Linked DNA regions of Astyanax mexicanus. The protein of the gene in region 1 purifies or fractionates together with the protein of each later gene. This does not show direct contact. Links are inferred from orthologs where the notes say so. Each region holds a gene or a part of one and is shown on either strand. Other genes may lie near its edges. The genes, in order: ubxn7, klhdc3, cul2 and ufd1l.

What was found.
Region 2: the proteins of ubxn7 (region 1) and klhdc3 purify together in Homo sapiens (affinity purification with mass spectrometry; 3 studies listed by BioGRID and IntAct, with this or other methods). This does not show direct contact. The link is inferred for Astyanax mexicanus from reciprocal best matches to the Homo sapiens genes UBXN7 and KLHDC3.
Region 3: the proteins of ubxn7 (region 1) and cul2 purify together in Homo sapiens (affinity purification with mass spectrometry; 6 studies listed by BioGRID and IntAct, with this or other methods). This does not show direct contact. The link is inferred for Astyanax mexicanus from reciprocal best matches to the Homo sapiens genes UBXN7 and CUL2.
Region 4: the proteins of ubxn7 (region 1) and ufd1l purify together in Homo sapiens (affinity purification with mass spectrometry; 3 studies listed by BioGRID and IntAct, with this or other methods). This does not show direct contact. The link is inferred for Astyanax mexicanus from reciprocal best matches to the Homo sapiens genes UBXN7 and UFD1.

What each region holds. Positions count from the first base shown.
Region 1 is NC_064411.1:57,533,940-57,541,029, forward strand, and holds the start of ubxn7 (UBX domain-containing protein 7), read right to left. Parts: upstream 3,010-7,090; 5' UTR 2,973-3,009; coding exon 2,903-2,972; intron 332-2,902; coding exon 172-331; intron 1-171. UniProt on the Homo sapiens protein: Ubiquitin-binding adapter that links a subset of NEDD8-associated cullin ring ligases (CRLs) to the segregase VCP/p97, to regulate turnover of their ubiquitination substrates.
Region 2 is NC_064414.1:11,024,611-11,031,989, reverse strand, and holds the start of klhdc3 (kelch domain-containing protein 3), read right to left. Parts: upstream 3,010-7,379; 5' UTR 2,922-3,009; intron 1-2,921. UniProt on the Homo sapiens protein: Substrate-recognition component of a Cul2-RING (CRL2) E3 ubiquitin-protein ligase complex of the DesCEND (destruction via C-end degrons) pathway, which recognizes a C-degron located at the extreme C terminus of target proteins, leading to their ubiquitination and degradation.
Region 3 is NC_064413.1:45,837,247-45,844,370, forward strand, and holds the start of cul2 (cullin-2), read right to left. Parts: upstream 3,026-7,124; 5' UTR 2,829-3,025; intron 2,353-2,828; exon of another isoform or gene 2,200-2,352; intron 1-2,199. Other genes in the region: rmdn1 (regulator of microtubule dynamics protein 1), read left to right, coding at 5,334-5,444.
Region 4 is NC_064419.1:34,876,311-34,884,222, reverse strand, and holds the start of ufd1l (ubiquitin recognition factor in ER-associated degradation protein 1), read right to left. Parts: upstream 3,004-7,912; 5' UTR 2,888-3,003; coding exon 2,885-2,887; intron 2,515-2,884; coding exon 2,382-2,514; intron 958-2,381; coding exon 925-957; intron 819-924; coding exon 697-818; intron 566-696; coding exon 435-565; intron 1-434. Other genes in the region: cdc45 (cell division control protein 45 homolog), read left to right, coding at 4,503-4,553, 4,784-4,843, 4,991-5,083, 5,812-5,949, 6,055-6,216, 6,319-6,377, 6,501-6,549, 6,965-7,026 and 2 more. UniProt on the Homo sapiens protein: Essential component of the ubiquitin-dependent proteolytic pathway which degrades ubiquitin fusion proteins.

The DNA.
Region 1 (7,090 bases):
TCGAAACCGAACCGATACTGTGGCTCAAGAACCGCGATACGAACCGAACCGTGGCAACACTGTACCGTTGCATCCCTATAATTAAGGCTTATTTATGTTACATCCTTCTTATTTCAGTATCATAAAACTAATAATAACAGTAGTAATATCTCCTCTCAGTCAGTATCTCACTCTGCTGTGTGTTGGTGTCTGCTGCCCGAGGCGATGGCTGAGCTGGTGCTGGTGCTGGGTTCCTCAGGGATTCCTCCTCCATCCAGAAACATGGTGACCGCCATCTCCAGGTTATTATTACATGCCTCCAGCATGTGCCTCCCCACGCTCTCTGTAGCTCCTGAACACAGAGAAAAACACAAAAATACAGAAAACACACTGATCAGATTCTTGTTTAAATTCTGGGGAACGTTTTACATACTAATAATTCTCAGTTTAGCCATCTGGAGTCTTAAAATAACCAATAATCAACATAACACATAAGGAATCATGTAGTAAACTTGGCTGGTAACTCTGATTAACTTATCCTGTACAACAGAGTACTCACGCTCTCGCTCTTCCTTTCCTGGGGCAATCCTGATGAGTGCCAGTTTCATCATAATGTTTTTGATGGTGTTTGTGGTGGACTGAACCTTTAAAAGTTCTTGAAATTCTTCTTTTTGGATCGACTGGTCTTTATTTTTCATTTTTTTCTTTACTTAGTTGAGTAGTTTAGTTTAGTGCTTCTCATAACCTGGATTCGAACATTACTCAAATACTCACTGTATACCTGTAACTCTACCTCTTCACTACTTTCCTTTAACTGATGCTCTCAAACACTTTATTAAGAGACAAGAAATTCAAGTAATTAACTCTTGATGAGTTCAGCACAGCTGTTAACTGATAAAAATTTAAGAAAGAACTTGTGTAAAATTAGTGCAACCCAGCCATGGTCCTTTATGTCCTTTGGGGGGGGGTGTTTTACTGATGAAAAAAAGTATTTTATTAAGCACACTAATTCTATATATTTTTTGTGGGTAACTGTACTTTAGTATAATGAGAATGAGAAAACTGCATTTCCCCATTTTTCCATTTTTTTTGTTTTAAGCGAGGTAAACACTGTGTCGCTAATGCTCAGGAGTTCAGAAGGTAGATTACTTTTCATTTATATTGAAATTTGAAATATGAAGTAACACACACACACACACAGTTGCTATTAAAAAAAAAGAATGACAAAAAAAAAGCAATTATTGGCCAATACTGATTTAATTCTGATATCATCATTCATTAAAAAAACAGAACATTAATAAAACAAATAAAATAATAAAACTAATATAAAATATAATAATTTATTTAAGGTATTTTTTATAGATTTCATCACATCTTTAATGTGTTGAGAAAACATTTCTTCATTTTTTTGTTTTTAGTGAGGAAAACACTGCGTTGCTACAGCTCAGAAGTTCAGAAGATAGATTACTTTATATTTATACTGTAATATATATATAGGCTACTCACCTCTCACTCACTCTCTCATATTTAGCAGTTACAAAATACTCTCCACAAAGAGAAGAAAGCTGTAATTTCATTTAAAAACCATACTAAAACCAAACCTGGAGAAGCTCTGATTATGACTGATCTCCAACTTTCCAGTAGAGAAACTGCATTTCTTATTAAATTATCAGGTTAAATGAAACGAAAGAATCAACATACAAGAAACAGGTCAGCAAGTACCAATACCGATATAATTCTGATATCATCGTGCATTCATTAATAAATTATAATTAAAAAAAACTAATAATTTACACAAAGATTGTATTTTTATAAGAGTACAAAAAGCACAAATTCTATTAGAAACTTGGGGAATTCTGCTTTGATATAATGAGAAAACCTGCATTTCTCCATTTTAGCGAAGTAAACACTGTGTTGCTACTGCTCAGAAGTTCAGACGGTAAAGTACTTCATATTTATACTGTAATATAAATAGTTTACTCACCTCTCACTCACTCTCTCGTGTTAAGCAGTTACAAAATACTCTCCACAAGGAGAAGAAAGCTGTAACTTAATTTAAAAAACATACTAAAACCAAACCTGGAGAAGCTCTGATTATGACTGATCTCTAACTTTCCAGTAGATAAACTGCATTTCTGATTAAATTATCAGGTTAAATAAAACGATAGAATCAACATACAAGAAACAGGTCAGCAAGTACCAATACCGATATAATTCTGATATCATCGTGCACTGTCTCACTACAGCTCAGAAGTTCAGAAGGTAGAGTACTTCATATTTATACTGTAATATAAATAGTTTACTCACTCTCTCACTCATTCTCTCATGTTTAGCAGTTACAAAATACTCTCCATAAGGAGAAGAAAGCTGTAACTTCATTTAAAAACATACAAAAACTATTTATTGTTTATTAAAAACACCTATTTTATTAAAAGTAGGAACAGCACTGCTTGTGTACAGATTTCTGCGGGTAAATAAGCTTTAATAGGCTGAACTGCAGCCCGGAGAGGCTCTGATTATCACTGATCTCCAACTTTACAGCAGATAAACTGCATTTCTCCTTTTTTCTCCAGTTCAGGCTGCAGATCTGCAGCTTTAAATTAAAGCAGGGGTTAATTTTACCCCCTCCGACTCAGCTGTACTGCAGTTTAATCTGTATTAATCTGTAAAAAATACTGTAAATACTGTGTTTATTCACTATATAATGTATAATAACTGTACTCTGCACTGTGTGTTTGTGTGGGTTAGCTGGTTAGCTTAGCTGTGCTAAGCTACTTAGCATGTTAGCATTAGCCTGCTGCAGGGAACCGGAGCGCAGCGGCGGCTCGGCGGCCCGTACCCCGCGCCCTGCGGCTCCTAGCCCCGCGGGGACCCCGCTGCCCCGCGCCGGAGCCCCGCGGCGGCCGGTAACCCGGTTATTTACCTGTAATCGCGGTAAACTGCTGGATTAACCCCTTCAGACCCGGCGCTGCTGCATCTCCGAGCGCCGCCATCTCACTGTCAACAACCCAAACACGCGCATGCGCGCAGCCGGCCAATCACAAGCCCTATCTGAGACACGGTGGCGTTCGTCACGGCAGGGGGATTGTGGGTAATGTAGTGAAGAACTGTAAAGAAATTGCAGTTTAGGTGCTTTTTTTTACTTTAGGAAGCTGTTAACTTGTAGTTTTTGAGGCTGATAAATGATCCTTCTTGATCCATACTTTCCTGGGGTGGTCCTGATGAGTGCCAGTTTCATCATTCTTTTCATCGTTTTTTGATGGTGAGGATACTTTCAAAGTTCTTGAATTTTTACATGAATTCTTTCATGTAAAATTCGGATTAACTGACATTTGACATTTTTTCTTAAAGTATTTTTTTCTTAGCTAAGTTGAGTATTTCTTGCCATAATGTGGATTCGAACATTACTCAAACAAATAGGGCTATTTGCTGTATATCAACTCCACCACTTCACAGTAACAAACTAGAGGACGGTGATAAATCCTGCAAATAACATTTGGAGTTATGTATAGGCCATTTATCCTATTTATCATCTGACCAACAACATTTAACCCAAACATACATATTTATGTATTATTGATAAATACCTTTAATGTGGTAAATATTTTATCCATAAAATCAAATTTACAAATAAAAAATAATAATAATCTGACCTTTGGCTTATTTATTATATTATTAAATTATAATAATATAATATTAAATTATATTTAATTCAATATATACCATGTAAAAAACAGAAATAAGTTGCTTCCTCATATCAGATGAGAAATAAGACCATGTCTGTCTGTCTGTCTCTCTGTCTGTCTATCTATCTATCTATCTATCTATCTATCTATCTATCTTCACAGTAACATACTACATTTCGTTTTTCCGCCACTCACTCAATCACTCACTGCTGTTTATTTTTTCTGTCTGCTTACAGTCTATGGTAATACATTTTTACAAATAATGCAACTTATTATTAAAATTCCAACACTTACTTGACTGTAGAATATATTTAATTATTATGAACACAAATAAATAAATAGACAAATAAATATAAGTGCTGTCAATAACAATGTTAACACATAAATGTACTAATAAATAATAAATTAATAATCTTCTGACTTTGGCCCAAAGTCCTGCTGTAATTCACTCTTTCTTTACACATTTGCCATTTTTAGTAAAGTAAATACTGTGACTACTGTTCAGCAGTATAGACAGTAAACTACTTTTATTATACAGCATTTTAGTTTATTAAATCACCCATGCAAGTCAAAAATGAATTTAGAAAAACATTAAAACATTAAAGCTCTAAAATGTGAATTCTACATTCCTACAAAATCATAGGGACTTTTTTTAAAACAATTCTGTCATCCTATTAATACCTATAGTAATCTATTTTAAGTTGTGAAGAACCCTTACTCACTCACTCATGTTTAGCAGTTAATTTTATACTTCTGCAGAGTAATATAAAAGTAGTGCTCTGTGCACTGTGTGTAATAAATTGGTTACACCATATTATATGATTATAGGATTGGATGTTTTACATATATATATTGGATAATATTACATATATTAAATACAGTATTATAAAATTAGAAATGACAGTCACGGCAAACAAATATGATCACTTTTCAAATTAAGTTTATTATTCCGTTGTTTATAATACATTCAGTTCAAAACAGTCAAACCGAGCACTTGTAAAACAATAAAAAATAAAATAATATAATAAAAGTCTGGAAAAAACACTAATCGAACAGATCTTAAATACAACTGGTGTGTTTGAGGAAGGAACGGCCTGCGATGTTTTAGTTGTATTAACGTAGATCCTTGAAAAAAAAAATAAAACAATTTTAAGGACTAGCTTTTGCGCAAAACATGCTAATGTAACACCTTAGCAGCCACCAATTAGCATGACGTCACTGGTACAATTACCATATTTCGCAAATTAGTGGCTACATTATAGCATTTGCAAAAAAAAAAAGGCCCAAACTATTCTTTTAAAGATCAAAACTGCATTAATTCTTATAGTTAAACGATCCAGCGCAACCATTCATCACCCAGCTCATTTCCTTTAATCAATTTAACGGGGACTTTTAACTTATTCGCTAAAGACCCTCCAGCTTAATTTTTTTATTTTTTATTTTTTTTACAATTTCCAAAATAAAAGTTCTTGTATGTATATGCCCATTTTGACCTTTATCAACACCCGCTCACATTTTTTGGCTATTAAATATTTTTAAAAGCTACAATTTGTACATTTTAAACATCTAAATAATACGCAAATTCAGTAATCTTTTGGTTAAAATCGCATTAATGAATAATACTGATTTTAAACCGTTTTAATCGATGAATAGAGAACAGTTTTCTGTTTTTTTGTTTTGTTTTTTCAATTTAAAGAAAAATCTGGCTTTTAAATACAGATGTCTTAACGAACCAGAACAGCTTAATCCTGATTTAAAACATCTTTAAAATAATTATTGTAGCTTTTAAATTTGATTTAAAGTGATTATTTTGACCTAATTATTAGTTTTACTCAAGCTGGAGTTAGCTTTCCACACAAATTATCCGTTCCACCTTAAATGCAGGCGCCAGAATGTAAGCTCGGCAGAATTTAAGGTGGAAAAGATAATTCGTGTGAGAAGCTAACGATGCTAACAACTTCCAAATCGTTTAATTTAGGTAAAAAATAGAAAATGTTCGATTCATTCAACCTTCAATTAAGACTCAACAGCTGAACAAATAAGAAAACGACCAAAAAACCTGGTTAAATCCACTCAAACACCACAAAAGTGTGTGTTTTTAGCGTTTTAGCTTTGCGTTAGCTAGCTAGCTAACTAGCTACGATTCAACCGTCGATTAAAACGCTCACCACGCGATTATTCGGGTGATTTTAATTATCTAGCTAAATTCTCAGCCATGCAAAGTGAGCGCAGCCTTAATAAAACACCTGCTTTATACACTTTTCCACCTTTTTCCAGCTCAAAAACTCTTAAATCTCATAGAGAGGTTACTGAAAAATAAATTAATAAAAATAATACCCTCTTTTCTGATCTGGTACCAAACTAAAACAACATATTTATGCTTAGGGCTGGCCCAAATCGTGCAATCAGTCGAATATTCGGTTGTAATTTACAACTAAATTAATTATTTTAGTTCATTCGCACCCTTATTTAACACCACTTTACTATTATAGGGCTCATCCTATAGTTCTTGAAAGAGTTTAAGAGAATTAGGAGAAAATTCAGAATCTACTAAGTTCATATATGAAAACCAAACTGTAATAAAAAGTCATGTTTTGAATCTATATAAAATCGCCAAATCGAGGTCTGATGCATTTTTAGGTTTAATACATTTTTGACTAGGAATTTAAATGTATGCTTTCTCAAGATATCGTTTATTAATTTTATGTGTTTGCCTGTAAAATCTGACTTTAATTCATTTATGTCATTTTTGTTGGTCAAGTCACACCTTAAGTTTTGACACACATCATTTGATCATTTGATATGCATTTTATGCCTGCAAAAATCTGACTTTAAATTTGATGTGCATTTTTTTTTTTGTAAAATTTAATGCACATTTTTGATCTTTAAAAATCACACTTTAAATTCTGACGCACATCATTTGTCTGTTTAAATCCGACTTTAAATTTTGCTATGCATTTTTTTGTTGGTATAAATTTGACTTTAAATTTTAATGAACATTTTTTTGTCTGTAAAAATCTGATTTTAAATTTTGACACATTTTTCAGGTCTGTAAAAATCTAACTCAGTGTAAAAAGGCCTAAATACATTAATATCATTAATCATTAATATGATTTTTGAGTGAAATTTTTGACGTGCATTTCTTTGGCAACTATAACATTTCTGACTTAGTGTAAAAAGGCCTAAATACATCGTCACCAACACTTAATATGATTTTTGGGTGGTTTTAACAACGAAAAAATTAAACACGATTCGGGCCAGCCCTAATTCTGTTGTGTGCTAACACAAAGCATATGTGTGTGTGTGTAAGTGTGTGTGCGAGTGAGTGATTGAGTGCATTTAAATATTTCCCTTATAGAGTAATGTAACATCACACTCTGCAGGGTCGCTACCCTTAGCTAAAAATAAAGAATAATGAAGCCTTT
Region 2 (7,379 bases), on another chromosome or scaffold:
TTCTCTTTTCTCTCTCCATGTTAAAACATAAGATAAAACATGCTTCTTATCATAGGCAAAATATTTTCAAATATTTAAAAAATTAATTTCTCATAATGTAAATGATACAACAAACTTGTATTTTAACAATTTTGCTTTAGAATCTGTCAAAATTAGTTTTGTAGAATGTAAAACATTTAGTTAAAGCATTTGAATTACTAAAATGGATGGAACCTAATAGAACAGAGCTGCAGAAGCAAAGATTATGGTCACGTGACCACACATTTACACACTGTTCTGTAGTAATGCTCTCGTGATGTCCAGTATATGTCACTTAAAGGGATAGTTCGGTATTTTTGACATGAGTCTGTATGGCATCATCATAACCAGTGTCGTGCATCCACACTGACTTACCCCCCACAGCGTCCTGTGAGCCGAGTTCTTGTCCAGTTTAGGTCAAAGCGAAAGTAGTCCGGCATGTTTGCTGGGGTCAGGAAAATAACTCCTTTTTCTTCCCAAAGCAGTACGTGTTCAAAAGAGTGATTTATTTACATCACAAAAAACTAACCCTGCAAAAGTCACGCCTCGTAAATCACTTGGGTCCTACTTTCTCTCGTTCCATATCAATGCGCGCAGCGCTGCAACCTGACAGCTAGCCTACGTGTTTGGGTCGCTTTGTTTACTTCTCGCCTCGAGAACATGTCTGACTACGAGAGTGACGAGGAAAACATTGATCACCGCTCAGAGCCACGGGGATATCTTTATGAACCCGAGTATACAGATGTTGAACTTCGCCAAATGGAATTAGATCGGGCAGAAAGAGAGAGGGTGGACAGAGAAGTGGTGGAAGATGAAACTGGAGCCACTGCTGGAGCTGCGATACCCAGGGTGGCCGACAAATCCTGGTGCACTTGTTTCAAGTGCGAAATAATGCAGACCGAAGTGGAATGCTACTGTTGCCACGAGTGGGACTTAGTTATGCCCGAGATGCAAGACCTATCCATTGATGAGGATGTCAGCGGGGCAGCTGCTTGCATCACAAACAAGTTGACGCGTGCGCAGCTCGCTGTCAGAATGACGCGCACTGATACGAAATGAGAGAAAGTAGGACCCAAGTGATTTACGAGGCGTGACTTTTGCATGGTTAGTTTTTTGTGATATAAATAAATCACTCTTTTGAACACGTACTGCTTTGGGAAGAAAAAGGAGTTATTTTCCTGACCCCAGCAAACATGCCGGACTACTTTCGCTTTGACCTAAACTGGACAAGAACTCGGCTCACAGGACGCTGTGGGGGGTAAGTCAGTGTGGATGCACGACACTGGTTATGATGATGCCATAAAGACTCATGTCAAAAATACCGAACTATCCCTTTAAGGACTGTATGAGTTAAAGTAAAAAATGTACACAGCTTTTAAAGGGTCTGCGACACAAACACACACACACACACGTCACTATGGGTTGATTTAGATTAAGATGTTCTTATTGATAAGATGCTTTTGGGAAACTGGGCCCTGGTCATGCATGTATTGCAGGGTGAAGAACCTCAGCCCTGGAGATTCTAATCTGTGAAATTTGGTGATTCTCAATTACTCCTGCTTAAACAGACCTGATTTAACAAATCAGCTGATAGTGACCAGGTTTAGATGTTGTGTTTGAGGCAGAGATGTATAGTAACAAAGAATAAAAACTACTTCACAACTTTACTTAAGTACTAAAATGCTGTATTATAATAGCTCCTCATTATTGAGTGAATCAAGCGATCAAGCTGATCTTATAAGAAGACCACGAAGGTCCTGTTCTGCCTTTTACTCTGAGAACTTTCCACTGCTTTCTGTAATAACTACACTAATAACACAGTACTGTACTTTTATATGCAGTATTTCAGTACTACATTTGACAATAAACTACTTGCAATACTTAAAAAATGTTGAATACTTTAGTACTTTCACTTAAATGTAGAGCTTAAAGAACATTTCAACTTCTACTCAAGTTTTTTTTTTCTTCAACTTTTTTGATACAGCACTTGTACATTCACTCAAGGTAAAATGGGTCTCTAGTACTTTAGATTATACATGTCTGGTTTGAATAGGAAAATCACAAACTCTGCTGGACTCTATTGGAGCATTCAGCTCCTCACCTTATCAGCTCAGAGAACCAGCTCACACTTAGAACCTTCAGTTCCACCTTAAATGGTGAAGGAAAAGATTTCATGTGGACTTGCATATTAATTCAGTTAGTCTTCTGTTAGACAGAAGGTTCATATGCCATTTCAGCTTAAATTCTGCACCATCTGAGGTAGAGGCGAATGAATTTGCTGATGTTAAAGCTGAACTCTGCCCTCTGATTTTGTCTGATTTAGCCATGCTAACCAAGCTAGGCGTTAGCTTAAACAGACCTGAAGTAAGCTAACGTTAACTAGATGTTCTCAGAGCTTCAAACTGAGTCAGTTACTGACTTTAACTAGCCTATCTCCTCGCCAGCGCGAGAAATTCCTCAGTTTTCTCCAGACCAGCAAAACATCAGTGAAACAAACGCCTCCAAACGCATAGCTATAAACCAACATTAGCCATGGTTAGCTAGTTAGCTACGTTAGCATCAACAGGCTAAATAGTAAACAACCCCAAATACTCCTGCTCAAACCCCCCCACAGCCCAGCCCACTGCCTGAACACACACTCCCAGTGTCTGTGATTAATATTCTTATCAATATCAGCTTCTCTAGTGAATTATCTGAGATTTAACTCAGTTTAAAGAGAAGTATTCCTGCCTGTCTGACACTCCAGCTCCTGCCTTAGCATAGCTTAGCCTATATTTCTCGGCCAGATTCCTGATCTCACAGCGAATAAAACCCGAATTAGCCGCTTTCCCGAGGACTTCCCGCTGTAACGATGTAAACTACAGCTTAATCTTCCTCGATAAAAAGGTGACATTTACATTTACCTTCATTATGTGCTTCTACCCGAGCAGAAAACCGGAGCAGAGTCCAGCAGCAGCTGCGCTAAAGCGCCCCCCAGCGGGTCAGGGGTCATACAGGGACTAGGGACACTAGAAAATAGCAGCTAGGGTGTAGGGATTAGGGAATAGGGCATAGGGAATATGAAGGACAACAAGTGCATCTTCAAAAAAACGTAGAAAAATCACAAAAGTTCATTTATTTCGTACAATCAGTATAAAAGTGAAACTCTATATATTAAAGGTCTCATTCCATCGTTTTTTCAATAATTAAATTATAAATAATTAAAATGTCTAGTTGTGGTTTCGGTACCACTTTAAAATAAGACTACCTTTATAAAGGGTTTATAAATGGTTTACAGTTAGTTTATTAATGGTTACTAATTAGGTTGTAAATGCTTTAAAAATCATTAATAATCAGTTATAACACATAATTAGAAAGGGCAACAATGACCTGTTGTTTGTCAAATAGTGAACCCACAGCCATCTATATCGTTGTCCTTTCTAATTTTGTGTTGATCATGAACTGATCATGTGAACTGATCATTAATGATTTTTAAGGCATTTAAAACCTAATAAGTAACCATTAATAAACTAATTGTAAACCATTTATAAACCCTTTATAAAGGTAGTCTTATTTTAAAGTGGTACCTAATATGAATGAATGCCATGTGAGCCGTTTGTTGTGAAAAAAGTGCTCCAGTGTTTCTGTATCGCCCTGCTTTATTTCACTGAATTATTGGTCTCTAAAGTCAGACAGAATTTTGGATATTGCTCATAAATATTCATACATGCAAACACATATCGCCTCTGATTGGCTAATAGATCTGCAGCAGAGATACTAGGTGTTCACTCTCATCTCTTCAGACCCACCAAGGCCATGAACTCTTGAGTTGATGTAGACACATTGCTTTACATGATCGACTCGTTTATCTAAACATTTTCTTTTACTAGCTACTGCAGACAGAAGAATACTGCAGTTGAAGAATAGTTTCATATGCAGCATGCATATACAACTCATAGAGACCTATATTTTACAAAGAACAAGAAAAAGTGGATTTTAGCAGAAGAAGAACTTTAAATAGATTATTACATACAGAGTGATTTATTTTGTGTGGCTTTTATTTTAGTATTGATGATTACAGCCTACAGCTAATGAAAACCCAAAAGTCAGCATCTTAGAAAATAGTGTCAATTCTAGACCATTTTAAATGGGGTGGGGGGTTAGTCCAGGGCCAGTGATTATGTTAGAAGGGCCGATTTCTTTCTAGCCTATAGTGCTTTGAAGGCATAACGAAGAAAAAGAATGTATCCAATATCGTTCAACATTTTATTTATACAGTTTTCAGTTTCCATATTTTCACAGTTTTAGGGCCTTTGCTGTCCTTAACTGAAAAGTACATTCAGAGTACTTAGTCTTAGTCTGTCATAGAGGACCCAAGCTTTAGTGCAAAAACTGCAGCACTACCCGGGAGTGAAACAGGTAATTTGCATTTTCATATTCAAGTTTTCATATTCAAAAGAATCAATTGAAACACTGTGTGCTGCACAAGGGAAACCCGGTAAAGTTTCTAAAGACTGGTTTATACTTATACTGTGGTGAGTCAACACATTGCATAAGTCGTAGCCTGCACTAGCACACTATGCAACCCACATTTATATTTCTGTGTTCATGTGTCCATGACTCTGCGTCGCTCCTCAGTATAAAACGCACAGACGGGAAGGTGTGGGCTTCTGCTGGGTTGTTTAATATGTATTTACATTTCTGGGGAGGTGAGCACCAGGCTATGGCATAGGGTACACATAGGCTTTGGTGTAGGTTTGATGCAGAAGTATAAATTGGCTAAAGAGTAAGATTGGAAAATTAGTATTTACATTAGTGTGCTGCTTTGTTGTGGCGTGTTTGCAGAAATGAGGAGATTTACACCTAATTTAGGGGGGCAATAGGGTGGGTCCAAGTGTGTTGTTGGAGGGGCACTGGCCCCCGTTGGCCGCCCTTAACCTGCGACTGCATAAACCTTGTCAGCAGAGGGAAGCTTGAACTGCTGTAAAATATCCAGGTTAATAAAAAAAACCTGTCCTGGGAAGAATCACAACATGCTGTCAAGGACTTGACTGAGAGAGCTCTTTAAAGCCTTATATAATATTCTAATTGTCTGAGATACTGTAAGCCACAATTTTAAGCCACTGTAAGCCAACATTACAGACATAAATGTTTTTTGCCATGCTAATTTTAAACTTCCTGGTTTGGACCCTTGCCTGTTTCTTGGTAACTCTTTTTGAATGCTTCATTTTTATGTTTTTTACTATGATTTTATCAGCATTTTATCTGCAATTTTCTAATAAACTTATAAATGTTTTTTTTTTAATCTGCAAGAATTTGATTCACTGCCTGATTATCACAGTTTAGCTGTGTTGTCCTTAGCTGTTATTAAAATTACCCAATAAAACAGAAGGCTAGATAAATAAACTTTGATTCAGGCATGACTGGGTGCCTTTCTTTCTCAGAATCCTCCCTGAGAAGGGAGCATTTCATACATTTCAGACACACCCATACTATCAAAAACTGTCTCTGATAGCACTGTTATTCTAGTCACTCATACAATCCTAATGAAGTAGCTCTGGCGAAACTGTAAAAGGAGCTTTTTTAGGTTTTAAAGGAGTTAAAATGCTTTTATAAAGTTTCATTGTTATTGTATTATTATTGTTTTTTTTTATTATTGTTATTGGGCATTTTTGAGGTAACAATGTTCTCAGGAATATGACACAACATTGATTTTTGTTTTACATTATTTTAATAATATACTACTGCAAAAACAATATGTTTTATTAATATACGTATGTTTTATATATTCAGTATAAACAAATCTACAAGCATTTATCCATTTTGTAAACAGTTTTGCAAACTTACCCTGACTTACCCTGAATATAAAAACACAATAAAAAATGCAATAACAATACGCTGCACAATAATTTAACTGCAAAAATCTACCCCAAATCTAAAGTGCAGCATGTTTATTACATGCATATAAACCACAAGCAAGCACAGTAAATACAGTAAATATCAATAATAACTAATCAAAACTAAGGCTTTCAATAATGTCACAATATTACAATATGGAGTTTTTTTTTATTTTGTGTCCAAAAATTACAATTTGATATGGCACACCCCAGTGCTGTGTGTTGCTGGAGAGGATTAAGCTCTGTAACAGGGCTGTTAATCAGAAGGCAGATGCTCTTTCTCCTCTGCTGATGAGCTGAAGATCAGAATCTCTTTCTCCTGAAGGCCATTAGGAGCGTCTCTAATGTTAGTTTAGTCTTTTGTTGAGTTGATGAAGAAGCTTCACAGTGAACTCACACCTTCTCCCCCGGTGTGACGCTTTACTGATTAATGATCAGTACCTTCCTACAGATACACATGCTTACTGAGGCAGTCTGTATATCTGAAAGATATACAGTACTGTCCATAAACAAATCCATAAACAAATTAATTAATAAATAAGATCTGACTCTCACTGCTTCTAATGCAACATGTTTATAATGCAGTATATTTTATATATATACAGTAACAGTCAAAAGTGTGGACACACCTTCTCAAGAAATGTTTTTCTCTGTTTTGTTATTTAATCATTTTTGTATATTGTAGATTATTATGTATTATTAGTAAAAACATAAAAACAATAACAGGATACATAGTAAACAAAATATGTTTTTGTCCTCCACAATCCCCTGATATAAACCTGATGAACTGAGATGGTGATTTGAGGTGATTTGGGATGAGCTGGTGCTTCACAGTGTGAAGGAAAAGCAGCAACTATTGTTCAGCACCTCCAGAAACTCCTTCAAACGCTGATAAAACTATTCAAGGTGACTCTCCCTCATGAAGACACTGAGATTAAAGTACCAAGAGTGTGCAGATCTGTCCTCAAAGATAAATGTGCCACTTAGAAGAATCTAAAGTAGAAAACATATTCTGGTTTGTTAAAAACTTTTTGTTTACAAAATAATTCTGCATGTGTTCCTGTATAGCTTTAATATATTTAATATTAAATTTACAGTCTGGTACTGTATTTCCATATTGTTAATTCACTGCAAATATACAGATTATAAACATAGAGTTTTATATATAAAATATAATGTATATTTAGATCCATTATTATTATATTACATAAACTACAGACTATATCTGTGAATACTTATATATATTGTGCTTTCCAATATATGTTTGTTATATATAATATACGATTCTTCTACATGTACAAATAGCTCACATCATAATTAAACTGTTAATTTGAGACACAATACATTTTACATCTACACTCCATGAAAATCGTTTTTTTTAACATTTGAATAACTGGTAAACAGGAGCAATACTAAACATCAATTATCAATTGTAATTAAGTGGATAAACATCTGTCAGCTTTTTTATTGTAATGAAAAAACATG
Region 3 (7,124 bases), on another chromosome or scaffold:
TTATTTTATATAAATCTATGGCATGATAATCACTAGCAAGGTTTAAAACTGTGTTTTAAAAAAGTGCACACTCCACTTGTCCGTAGTACGCACTTTACTTGCAGTGCTGTGCAGTGCATAGCCTAATAATTTTTTGTTTGTTTGTTTGTTTGTTTTTGCACATAGACTATAAGCTCAATATAAAAATATTTTGTTAAGATTTATTTTCTTATCTTAAAACATGTTAAATTATATTAGATTAGAATAAAGTCACTCAGAATTAATTCTTGTAGCCTAATTTTGGGCCTGACCTAAGCTCTACCAGATTATCCCAAAAGTATTGAATGGAGCTCCCTCAGTACAGAAAACTCCTCTACAGCCCAGTGAGGATGGCTTTAGAACCGAGGCTTAGCACTGGGGCATAGCGACTCTAGGTTCATATAGGTACATATAAAACCAGCGCATCTACACTTATCAAACAATCAATAGATGACAGATTCACTAACTGAATCTGAATTTTACTTTTAAAGAGGCCAATTCATCATGCAGGGTTCTTGCTCTTTGTTAAAAGTCAAATTGAACGCTTTTTAAGACCTTTTTAGGACCTCAGTAAATATGTTATAAATATTATATTATAAATATTTAAGGCCCAAAAATGTAGTTATAACTTCTTAAGTAGAAAATAATTTATTGTGTTAAAAATTAAAATGTAACGTTTCCCATTTATGATCAATTTTCTTCATCAATTTTGTTCCACTGTGATGCAGAACCTGTTAGCATGTTACTAAGCTCTCCGCTAATGTTAGTGCTTTCCCACTGGCATTAAACGCACCATCTAAAAATGTAATACCTACAGTAAATTTACAGAAATGTTAAGACAATTTAAGAACTAAATTATGCATATTTTAAGGACCTGCGGGAACCCTGTCATGAAATTTGTACACACTAGAATTATTAAATGCAAGGGTCAAATAATGTAAAAAATGTAGAAAAGAATATACAAGTAACAGTGTTTCATTTCTATATAGTATATAAATACACACTTGACTAGTGTTTTTTATCAGAAGTGCAGCAATTAAGCCCTTGCAGAAGAATGCAGATACATTTGTGATAAAATAAATAAATTAAAAGAACACTGCATCATTACCATGCTATTAGCAGTGCTCTGTAGGTGACTGCAAAAGAGCAGTAAAACTCAGTAAACTTACTGCAGGACATTTAGGGCAACATATCTCCTCAAAGGGAGTCAAGACATTTAAGTCTAATTTGGGAAGCCTCTACCAGTTCTGAAAAACTTCAGAACCATGACAACTTTACAACTTTCAATGGAAGTCAATGTAAACACTCTTTATTCCAAGTAGGGAAGCCCCATATATTCACCAACCAAAATCATTCAGCTAAAAAGGCAAAAAGGCACTTTCATTGTTTAGCTGGCTCATTTAAAAAGTTTAGTGTTGAATATATATTTTTTTGTTTTCATAAAAAAAAAACAGGACAATGCATTTTAAAATGCTATTTAAAATATATGAGTACTTTTTTGTCAAAAATTTTAAATGGCTGGTCAAAGATATTTTTAGGATTACAGCTATAGTACATGACATATCACATTTTGGTTTTAAGTAACTTATTGACTTATTTAACCTAGTTAGTTAGCTAAATCTAGCTAACTAGTAAACCTGTAACACAAAATAGCTAGTGTAATGGTATAAATATAACTAACCTACACACCTTTAAATGTTTAAAACCACAACATTTTGGGGAAAATTTGAAATTTGCAGATTGTAAAGCCTCACAGTCCTACAGTAAAACTACAGAGCAAACTTTAGAGCACCATCATGTCTTACAGCTAGGGCTAGGCATCTTCAAAAGCATTTCTATCGGTCTGTTTATTAGTGAAACTCGACACAACGTAGAAAACTGTCAGATTAACATTGTCATAAAGTGAAAAATGGTAGATAAAAGATGTTTTTAAGATTACAGCTAAGGTTACAATATATGAAATATCTGTTATCACATTTTGGGCTTAAGTATTGACTTATTTAACCTAGCTAAATAGTTAACTAAATCTAGCTAGGATAACGTTAAGCCAACCAGTAACTTTTAAGCCAATATAACTTGTGCAATAGTATAAGTTAAATATAATTAAGCTAGTTACACACCAAGTATTAAAAGCACAACATTTCAGGGTAAAATTGATTTGAGCAGATTTTGAAGTCTTACAGTCTTACAGTAGAACTACAGAGCAAACTTCAGACCACCACCATGTCTTACAGCTAGGGCTAAGTAAGTAGCCAGCCAGCCAGCAGATTGATGAACTCCATTTGTGGCTATATTAAGGAAGGCTCGTTATACAGTTAGTTAACGCTGGTTATATGAGTTTTCTGTGAAGCTTTATAAGCCGACAGTTGGGTAATTACCCGGATTTACCCGTTGGGATTTAAACCCGTTTACTTATAAAAACACAGTCACGAGCCTAACAGTACGGAGGCCTAGCTAGTTAGCCGGATAGCCGCTTCAGCTAGTCTGACATTTCAGTGATTTCGGTTTTGTTTAGGGAGCTGGAGCTGGAGTTTAGTGGAGGTAAAGACTGAGACAGGCCCAAAACAAGGAAGCTACTCCCCAAGTAAAGTTACTGGACCGTCCTTTTAGTCAGAGCGCTGAAATCCGAACTCTAACCGAACCGAAACAGCAGCTAGTCGGCTAAACCCGAGCGAGCCTCCGATCCAGAGAGGAGCTCCAGCCCGCAGCTCCTCCTCCCGCAGCCCCGACACCCGGCCCCGGCTCGCCCGCGCCCTAAACACGCGGATAAAGGCGCGGTTCTGGGTGTGTAGCTGAGTGTCGGTGGTTACCTCGGGGTTCAGGGTCAGTGCGCTCGGTTTCAGTGAAGTTCCCCCGCTGTCAGAAAGCCCGATTCTCTCTCTCAGACCTGCTCCATCGCAGCAGCAGCAGCAGAGGAGGACAGCACAACTCCATCAGCTGGAGGGATGTCAGACTCCACACACACTGCGGAACTGGGAAAAAGCTGTAAAACACACACCAGGAACCTGTAATAATTTTAAGTTAACTACAAAGCTGATGTACAGAGTGTTAAATATCCCTTCTGTGTAAGAACAGACAGATTTAACAATATTTCGCTATTAAAACTCCCCCATTTCGAGTTGGTTTTGTCCAAAACTACGGAATCCAGCTCAGGACAGTTCACCTTCGCGCACACCGCTCTGCTCCGAGGCCGACCTGAGGTGCATGACGTCAATCATCAAAAAACTGAGAAGAAATGAGCAAATACAGGTGCATCTCAAAAAAATAGAATATTGTTGAAAAGTTACTTTATTTCAGTAATTCAGTTCAAAATGTGTGTTTATTTCTTTATGGTTGATGATTATGGTTTACCCAATTGGTACTTACCCACTTGTGGGCAGTGTGCCAAGTCCTGCTGGAAAATGAAATGTTGTCAGCAGAGGGAAGCATGAAGTGCTGTAGAATTTTCCAGGAAAACACTGCACTGACTTTTGACTTGATATAACACAGTGGACCAACACCAGCAGATTGAGACATGACTTTCCAAATCATCACTGATTGTGGAAACTTCACACTAGACCTCAAGCAGCTTAGACTGTGTGCCTCTCCACTATTCCAGACTTTGCTCCCTTGATTTCCAAATGAAATGCTAAATTTACTGATGATCAGTGATGGTTGGAAGGACTTCACTGTCATACCCACTGTTAATTCCCCCTGAACATTTAAGAACTGTGTGCACTTATTCCCTTTGTCAGCCTTAAGCAATTATACCACTATATTTGCACTACTGTTATACGGGTTCTGTTTATACTTGTACTGTCATTTCCTCTTTAATCTCCCCCTCACGACTATTGCACTATTGTCTTGTGTCTTTTTGCCTCTGTGTCCTTGTTGTATTGTACATATAGAGTCTCCCATTATTTTATATTTATAATCTTATTTTCTGAACTTTCTGTAACTTTTGGGAAGGAGAGTAACGTAATTTCAATTCTTTGTATGTCCTCTACATATGCAGTATTGACAATAAAACTACTTGACTTGATTTGCTTCCCTCTACTGACAATTATGGAAATGCAGATTTTATATTCTAGCAGGGCTTGGCACACTGCCTACACTGCCAAAAGTACCAATTGGTCTTATATAATATTTTAATTTTCTGAGACACTGATTTTTGGATTTTTATTGGCTGTAAGCCATAATCATTATCATCAATAATAAAATATCACTCTGTGTGTACAATTTAATTGGAATGCTCTTATTGAAAATATTCACTGAGGTAAAGGATGATGGAATCCTTTTATATAAGGTGTATAAAACAAAGTAAAAGAAATACACTTAAATATCCCCCATGCAATTCTCTAATAAATATATAATAAGATATAAACAATATTTTACATTTTGAGGTAACTGTGATAAAAACCTGGCTTATCTTTTTTTTATTGTAATACGGTCTTTAACTTTTAGAAAAAATTACCATTTGTTTCTCCTATGCGAATGCAAATATTTCTTTTTTTTTTTTACTTCAAAACACAAGTTGTTACATTGAATTAAAAAAAACAAACAAATCTCTTGAAACTGCTGTTAATTGTTTATTCTTTCGGCACAGAATTAAATGTGCCGAAAAAGTCTAAAGAATATACCCACATTTATTATTTTTGGAATATCAGAATATATAATAATTAGTAGAATATTTCATAAAAAGCCTTAGAATTGTTAAAAAAAAATATATGGTAACATATATGTATGTGTGTGAGAGAGAGAGGTGATCCCCATTGTCTACACTCTATATCTGACAGTTTACAGGCTCTGAAACACACACAGCTCCAGATTAAATGTAATATATTAATAATACACAGAATAAAGGTGTGAATTTCTCTCAGAGCGGAGAGAAACCGAGCACTTCTTCCGCATCATTATGCGTGTCGTCAGCGGATATTACGAACCGACAGACCAAAACAAATGTTGTGGGTTGCCAGGTGTAGATAAACCCCCGAGCTACACTCCAGGTTTTAACACAAATTACATTAGCTTAAAACGCAATTTAAACTTGTTATGTGCATACATACATACACAGTACCAGTAAAACGTTTGACCACCTCTTCTTATTCAATGTTTTTCTCTATATCCACTATTAAAATCTTTAATAATCTTCTTAATCCTTAAGAAAAAGAAAGTATTAGAGAAGAGGGTTTGTAGAGGATCTGGCAGCCCCGGCTCTGACGCTGTGTGGTATACAGCGCTCGGGTTACACGGCGCTTCGCCCGCTCTCAGGTTCACTTCCATTCAGCCCGTCTGATAGTGGAGGTCGCTGAGCTGGGGGTCAGTGGAGCTGCAGAATGGCCTCTGTAGCTGCGGTCCGGGCGGGTTTCAGAGCCGCGGGGAGGGAGCTGAAGAGCCGGGTCAGCGGGCAGCAGCAGCTCGGGCCCTTCCGGAGGATCTCAACTCGTGTAACTAAGAATTTATCTTGATCTTAAACCTCTCTGATCTTACAGCTGTTCACCTGTGATTCTCTTATGATATTACCTGTGATTTGTCTCTTAAATTACCTGTGACACTAACTGATATCATAGCTGTTTACCTGTAATTTGTCTCAGTTATTACCTGTGATACTCCTCTAATATTTCCATTTGATTCTCCTCTGATAGCATAGCTATTCACCTGTGTTACTCCCCTGATATCATACCTGTTTACCTGTGAAACTCCTGATATTAACTGCGATACTCCTCTAAAACCATAGTTGCTTAACTGTGATTTTCCTCTGATATCATAGTTGTTCACCTGTAATACTCCTCTTATATCATATAGCTGTTCACCTGTGTTACCACTTTGATATTAGAGCTGTTTACCTGATAACATAGCTGTTTACCTTTGATACTCCTCTAAACCATATCTGTTTACCTGTGATTTTACACTGATATCATAGCTGTTTACCTGTGATTCTCATCTGATATTATGTCTGATGCTCCTCTGATACTCTGATATTACCTGTGATACTCCTCCTCTATCATAGCTGTTCACCTGTGATACTTATCTGATATCATAGCGGTTCACCTGTGATACTCCTCTGATATCTTAGCGGTTCACCTCTAGTACACCTCTGATATCATAGCTGTTTACCTGTGATTCTCATCTGATATTATGTCTGATGCTCCTCTGATACTCTGATATTACCTGTGATACTCCTCCTCTATCATAGTGGTTCACCTGTGATACTTCTCTATCATAGCTGTTCAACTGTGATACTCCTCTGATATCATAGCTGTTCACCTGTTATACTCCTCTGATATCATAGCTGTTCACCTGTTATACTCCTCTGATATCATAGCTGTTCACCTGTTATACTCCTCTGATATCATAGCTGTTCACCTGTGATACTTATCTGATATCATAGCGGTTCACCTGTGATACTCCTCTGATATCATAGCTGTTCACCTGTGGTACTTCTTCTCTATCATAGCTGTTCACCTGTGATACTTCTCTGATATCATAGCTGTTCACCTGTTATACTCCTCTGATATCATAGCTGTTTACCTGTGATACTCCTCTAAACCATAGCTGTTTACCTGTGATTTTACACTGATATCATAGCTGTTTACCTGTGATACTCCTCTGATATTATAGCTGTTTACCTGTGAGACTCCTATATTACATTTGATACTCCTCTGATATTATAGCTAGTGTTTTACTATGTGAAACAGTAGATTATTCTGAGCATGATCTTTCCAGCTGCAAACTAACTAGTTACAGGACTTGTTACAGAGTAGCTTCAGTGTTTTTCTGCGCACCTATAGTTATAAATGTACAGTGGACCAGTCAGCCCCCAGCAGCAGTGGGTTATATCTGCACTCTGAACTGCACTAGCTAGTAGATTAGTAGATCTAGGGGAAAGAGCACAGAGCCTCTGACAGGAGCATGATTTACCCAACACTGTAAAAAGTTGCTTAAAGTCCATATGCTAAAAGTGCAGGGTAAAACACTTTAAACACTTGCATTGTTGTACACTCTATTCACAGTGGATACGTCTGGTGACATATGTGTGCTGTGCAAAAAAGCTGTGGAAGTTTACTTACAGCACACTGTCCTTCACTCTAACTCATTAAGTCTCTTAGTGACACATACTGAACATC
Region 4 (7,912 bases), on another chromosome or scaffold:
GATTATATTCAATAGATTTTCAATTTGGTAAAATTAAGGAAACTCATCATTTTTAAGTGGTCTCTTATTTTTTCCAGAGCTGTATACAGAAGTGATATTCAGTATCCCAGTAGTAAATGTTAGCTATCTGCTAAAGTACTGGATAGCTGAGTGGGGCACATTTCACAAAGCCTGCCCTTGATTATCTGCTTTAATATGCTTGTAATGGGTCCTCACACTTTCAGGATACATAATAAAAAGTGGGTTTTCATCAGGGTCTTCAAACAAAAAAGGCTTCCTTTTCATTCTCCACAATATTACTGCAGTAAAAAGATATGCGGTCATGTTTAAGAAAGATGTAGCGACAGAGACTCTACATGCTTTGTTGGTGCCCCTTTAATTTCCTTTACAGCTTAGCTATTGAGTGCAGTATGTTGTTACACTGGATTACTTACACAGCTTTAGGGTTTGTGATGTCCAAGAAGTCTGGACTCTGAGGCTGAAATTTGGAGTAAGTTGCCACCATGAGATTGACACTCTCAACCTGGACCAAACCTCCTTCTTCCAATAACAGGTTCTGCATCATCTGTGGGACAAAGACAATATTAAGTTCACGGATCAGAAGAAAAACAACACACAGTAGTTTACGCACCTACAAAATACTACACTCTTCGGCTATAATGTCAAGAATAATAAGTGTTTGTTTTAGTTTATTACCCAGTGGGGAAGGTAGCAGATCCCTTCATCAGCAACAAACTCCAGGACACCACAATGGGTCATTCTGTCTGAGTTCTTATTGGTGAGTTTGAACAGCATGGGGTATGTGATGTTAAGTCTGCCTGTTTAAGGATAAGGAAGGTTTTATTCAGTACATCATATCATTTCATACAACTACAGTGGTACAGTGGTCTCGTATTAGAAAACAGTATTAACTTATGAACTTACTAAGCTGGTCCAGTGCTGATGGGGGCATTATAACTGGCAAGAGAAGGAAGAGAGTATTACACACTCAAGAGGAGTACAATCAAGAGACAGTAGCCCATCTAAGCCTACGCTGGATATACATAAAACACACACACACACACACCTATGCCTATACTGTGTCAACTGATATATAAAAATACCATATAATAAATGTTATTCTTGTTGTTATCAATCATGATTAGATTCATTAATATCACATGAGTAGGCCCCATGTGCAGTGTACAACCCAGGTGGAGCTCATGTTTAGACCCTCCTTGCCCCATCACTAACATTAATATGTGAGGCCAACATGGAACCCATGGACAAAACGTACAGGTTCCATAATGTCATTTCAAAACTCCAAATATCTGCAGTGCCACCACAATACACAAAGTGCTGGGGACAGACACACAATGTGAGAAGGATAATGGGCCCATTCACAGTTCTCTGTGTCTCCAAAAGTGCACAAACACAACAGATTACTGTACCATGTAATTGTGAAGGAAATAAAGATATACAGGAACACATTATTTGGAGCTCTATTCTAAGACATACCCACATGGGGTTCTGCACTATAAGCCCCTGTTGGCACAGCCTAAGCTTTTGTCCTTAATGCATTTTCCCCCTTATGTTACTTTTATTTTCATACTTTTAAGTAGTTTTGAATTCAGTTCTTTTTACACGTTTACTTTTAGTAAAAAGCTTGAGTTGATCCCAGCTGGCATTTCAACATTGAATCAACATTAATGTTATGGTTGAATCAACCTTGGATTTGGTGTTGATTTTGAAAAGTGAATCAACGTTGATATGGCGTGTACATTCAACCTTTCATAAACCATAGCTCATAAAAACTAGAAAATTCTATGGTTAACTATAGTTTATAGTGAACTATAAACTTACATCACTGCACTAAAGCTGAGTAAAAAGGATGTTACCCACCACTATCAATCAGATTAAACGTCTAATCTCAAAAACACAACAGTAAGACTAATAGAACATACTCATTTCCCCAGGTATGGCGAAGAATTGATGCCAAATTAAAAAGCAATTACTGCAAATGGAAGCAAAACCACTTTTTCATCCTTCCATCCTTTTTTTTTATATAGTGATGAAATGTAAAATGCTAATTCAAAAGGCAGAAGGTTAAGGACATTATGTTGATTCGACGTGTAAATTTTAACGTTTTCACAACCACTTAACATTAAATGTTAAAACAGACGTTACTTCAACCATATTTCAGCCACATTTTACCGTTGAAGGTCGGTTGTTTGCCAGCTGGAGATACTAATTAACTTCTACAGAAGTATTTAAACCCTAGTATCTATATTTCTACTTGAGTAATGAATGTGAATTCTTTTGAAACATTCGCTACAATAAGACACAGAATATAGTATCATGTCTTAAAGAATCATCACACAAAAACACTGTAAATGTAATACTTTTTCCTCCTTTTTCCACGTCTGAGCGGTCATTGGGTCCCGCCAGCATCGACACCGAGTAGCAGCGGTACTGTGTGGAGAAGCGGTTCTGGAAGGCCCGAGGCATCGGGTGATCAAACATGTTGAAGGAAAACTGAAAACGTAAAAACAATATAAAGCAGATTAGCGAAATGATGGGCTGATCTCAGGCCTTACCGACTAACCTCGCTAGATTACATTCACCCCTATAATATTACACACAACAACTAACAGCTACGGAACCTCATATCTTCAACTACACCCTGAAACTAAAATACTGAACACCCGGTTTCACCAAACCCAGTAAAACTACAGAGCAGCTTCAACTGAGAACACAAAAACAAAAGGGCTGACAGTGACAGTGCAGCTTTAGTCGCTAGCCTAGCGTAGATTTACCGGCTCTTTAACACACACAACTAACTATTTAAACCAGCACACCACCCGCATTCATCAGCTACAAACGTGGCAAAGCTTCCAACACCCACCATGTTGTCTGAATACGCTTTACTTCTCTCAGAAATACTGCAGAAATCAGACTAACGCTACTGTACAAAAACACACTACTATCCTCTTCCCAGGGAAACGCTGAGTATACAGGATGTGACGCCTCCCCACAACAAAACACCTCCGCCCAATCAGATCACTGCAACGCCATGCCGTCATCAAATTACTCCAAACAGAAGCTCATTTTATATTTATTATTTATATTTTATACATTTTATATACTATTTATATATTATACACAAATTGGAAATACAAAATAAAACAAACAACCATAAAACCAATAAACTGAGCAAAACATTTATCTTAACATCACATCTAATTAATCAACTAACAAATTTAACTAATAACTTCATAACTTCATAGCTCATAACTTCATATACTTCATATACATTCATGTTCATAGAACAGAGACTCCATAAATAAAATAAATTCAACAAGAAATACACTTAAAATTGATTACCTTTACCAAATAATTTTAAATTGTGCTGATAATTTCCCTAAAATGATCATCAGATTTAATAAGTAAAATTCACAGCAAAGACATTAAAGTTAAAACGATAAACGATATTTAAGCATATTTAAGTTTTATTAGAATCCCATATTTTTTGTTGCTGTTTGTTTATTTACTTTCGTTTATTTTTATTGGATATATATGGTATGTGAACACGTGCTTTAAGCAAACATATAAAATATATAAAGCTTTAAAAGTATATATATATATAAATATATATATATATATATATATATATATATATATATATATATATATATATATATATATATATATACTTTTAAAGCTTTAAAATCCAGTTATAAGCCTTTAAACCTGCTCTGCCTGATACTTCAGCATCATCTCAGCAACTCACCAGTCAGCACTCAGTAGCAGCAATGCTAGGGCCTTTACTGCTTAAATCCAATTTTCTGTAAAACAATACTTTATTTTACTTTTTAAAATGAACGGAAACATATTGGAAAGGTAGTTAATTACTATACGTAATTTGAGTTTTTAGCCGTTTAGCTATATTTTTCTACGTCCATTGAGGTCTCGTTCGCTGGCTCCCTCTAGCGGTTCGTACCAATAATCAGATTAAAATAGGGCGATAAGAAGTGGCCAGGCTCTCTACATACTGGCTCTCTTTAAACTAACACTGACACTGACTAACACTGCGTTAACAAATATGTATGCAATATTGTAAATAAATTAAACAAAAGCATAAAACATCACTCATTATATTTGTCGTAACAAATATCTGTATCTGTTTCAACGATGCTGCGTAAAAAAATAAAATAAAATAAAATCGAGTACAAAATGTCACCTTGAGCCATTAAATACGAGCAGTTTAGTGATTGGTTTGACAATCTGTGCGACCCGCCTCCTTTAACTCAGGGAGTGAATCTGATTGGTTAGGGCTTGCAGATTTGACAAGATGTAACAGCTGTCACCTGATTGGACACTGCGACAAAGCCCGCCTCCTCTTGTATGAACGAATTTGGCGCCAGAGTTTCTGGACGGAAAGTCGCGAGAATTAGCAAAACAAGCTGATTTACCGAGCCTGCAGCGGGACTGAGGGGATTTTTATGTGTTTTTGAGATTTTAGGATGTTTGTTACCGATATTAGGAAAGAGTTTTATGATGTTGTGGTTAATCAGGTGAGGCGTTTCTCGTTTTAACGTGTTATAAAAGAGTTTAGTCGAGTTTAACCCGGTGGCTAGTTAAACTAGCTATGCAGTGTTAGCCGGGCGACCGTGATTGTACCTTACCTAGCTAACTATCTACCCTTTTTTGACGTTGACTCGCTGAATTCTGTGGTGTGTGAGTTAGTTTATATGTGTATTTAGGTACATTAATGTCTAATTTTTAATATGTTTTTGTGTTTAAGCGAGTGGCCCTGCTTGTGTCCGCGGATATTGACGCGCTGTGTGCCTGTAAAATACTGCAGGTTAGTGTCTTTCAGCTCATAAGTAACAAGCCTAAATAACCAGGTTCACTAGTCGGGATAAATTCCTTGTGTAGATCCGAGGTAGTTAAAGGTAGTTAAACAGTTAAAGTCAATTTATCTCATTTTAACCCTATCGTTTTTTTCTAGGCCTTGTTTCACTGTGATCATGTCCAGTACACTCTTGTTCCTGTGACAGGCTGGCAGGACCTTGGCACTGCTTTCCTGGAACATAAGGAACAGGTAACTTAACAGTGTTAGTTATTGTTAGCTAACGTTAGCTAGGTGTACACATGTTCTACGTAGAGAAAACATAACTTACCTATGTCACATGACTATTCTATTGTATTAAGAAAACAAAACAAAAAACTAGCTACACAATACATTTTTCTAAGCATAGATCGATAGATAAGGTAGATACAGGCCTCTCACGATAATTACATTATCAACTTATTTTACAATAAATGTACATTCAATTCAAAATCACTTTATTTGAACATAAGGAGAGATTTATAATAAATTTGATTATAATTTTAAGTAAACATTATATAAATAAAATAAAATTTGCAGCATAAATTTGTTAAATTAGATTATAAATAAGAAATGTTTAAATTTGTAGTAATAAGTTTGTGGAGTAATAAGAGTATACTTGGTTTGTTATTCTGTTATCATTATTTTAGTGACAATTAAATAGTCTTAAAATTACAATTTTTAGCATTGTTTATCGCAATAGAAATTTTGACAGGCCTAGATAGGTAGATCACTTTGGTCATTCTAGAAGGACATTCACAATTTCACAGACCCTTTACTTAGTATCTGACAGTATATGATTATTTGTTTGTATTGTTTTGTTTTTCTCATGTAGTTACTGATGCATGTCAAAATGTCAGTCAACATTGTGAACATCTTTAAATAGTCATTAACATTAAGGGTACTGTATGTTGTTTTAAATGTTTTCTCTCTCTTTACAGTACCAGTATTTTGTCCTAATTAACTGCGGGGCAAACGTGGACCTGCTTGAGACTTTACAGCCTGAAGAGGACTCTGTCTTCTTCATTTGTGATACCCACAGGCCTGTTGATGTTGTCAATGTTTACAATGACACCCAGGTGCTCCTTCTTTTGTTTGTTTTAATAGAATTTTATTAAATTGCTTTTTCTAATCTGTGTTTTATGGATCTTAAATTATGTCATTAAAATGTATTGTTGCTTTAGATTAAGCTGCTGATTAAACAAGATGATGATCTTGGAGTGCCCTCGTATGATGACATTTTCCGTGATGACGAAGATGAGGATGAGGACGGTGATGGAGGGGATTCTGGGAATGAAAGCGATGGCGGGTCTGAGCCATCTGGTAAACGGCGGCGGTTTGACGAGGCAGGTTTTCTTCTTCTGGACCCAGTCACTGAAGAAATGTGTTCCCATATTTGTAATTCCTTCCCATTCTAATGATTTTCAGTTTTACCTTTATTATTTCAGGGTGCGTTGGAGAGGAGAATCGAAAGGCAGCGTGCAAAGAGGGAGTGGGAAGCTCGCAGGTCAGTTATGCTGAGTTGACTGAATAAATGCCATATATCTATTACTGGTCAAGTAGTCCAGTTCATAATGCTATTTTTATACAAACATGCTTGTAACCTCCTAATGGTCCTGTGTGTTTGCAGGCGGGAGATTCTGTTTGACTACGAGCAGTATGAGTATCACGGAACTTCGGTGAGTATTCACATCTATGATATGATGGCTTGACTAGGATTTTACTAATATGTTGATGTTAGCAATATAGATAAAATTCATTGTACCTTTTTTTTTTTTTCTTCAAAACATGCTTCTCTCTGTCCATCCAAATTGGTTCAATTAATTGTTAACATGCCCGAAAAGGTTCATGCTTGCTGTTGGTACCTTTATCCTCCTAGTTTTGGGGTGGTGCAGCTAAGTGAGTGGGGTAATCAGCATAATAAAACTGGAGAAAAATGGGATTAAAAAAAAAAAACCATTAAAATATTTTTTTTTATGTTTTGCTTTATAAAACAGTGATTGTTTTTTGTTGATGTGGGTAAACATTGGGCTGTTAAATATTGGGATTATGTCTTAGTGTTTGAGTGCCTTAATTATTTTGTCTTTTTTCTAGGCTTCTATGGTTATGTTTGAGCTGGCCTGGGTTATGACCAAAGACACGAAAGATATGCTTTGGTAGGTGTTTGGACAACTAAAGACTAATACATCAGTATTCATTCTATAGAAATGGGATTGTGACTCTTGTGTATTTGACAGGTGGAGTATTATTGGTCTAACTGATCAGTGGGTTCATGATAAAATCACCCAGTAAGGATTTTTTTTTTTTTTTAATTCTTATGTATTCCCCTTTTCACAGTTTATTTGGCATATTTTTCTTAAAATGTAACGGGTGGTGTATACCTTCCTCTTTTTCAGTATGAAGTACGTAACAGACATTGCTACTCTGCAGAGGCATGTCTCTCGTCATAACCATCGCAATGAGGATGAGGAGAACTCTCTCTCTATCGACTGTATGAGGATCTCCTTCGAATATGAGTATCCTGTTCAGTATTGTGAAAAATGCAGTCATGAATCTTGGTGGGGTAAGATTGGAAACATTGTTTTGCACAAAGGAGTGTAAAAACGAACTCCAAAAGCAGAGTGTACAAGAGCGATTCAAGAAATATTACAGGATGGTGCAGCTTCAATGTTACAAGGAAAATAATTATTCAAATCCAGTGGTTCTCACACCTGGGGTTCAGCAAGCGTCCCAAGTTGGTACGCCAGATAACATCAGAAAATTTGCTTCATGCTCAAAAATATTAACAAATTATGCTTTGATGTTTTTAATCTGTAATTTATGTAACTTTAGAATTGTTTGTGCGTAACTAATTAGAGCATGTTTGTCAGCTCACACTTCAGTTCCTCATCCCTGTAACTACAGTTCTATAATTAATAACATCAGTTTTATATGCCAAACAATAGAACCCAGTGGTACTCCACAACTCCTAATAGTTTCTGATTAATAGTTGCGGAAGAAACCTCGGGATCAAGGGGGGCGTCATATAGACAATCTAGTTAA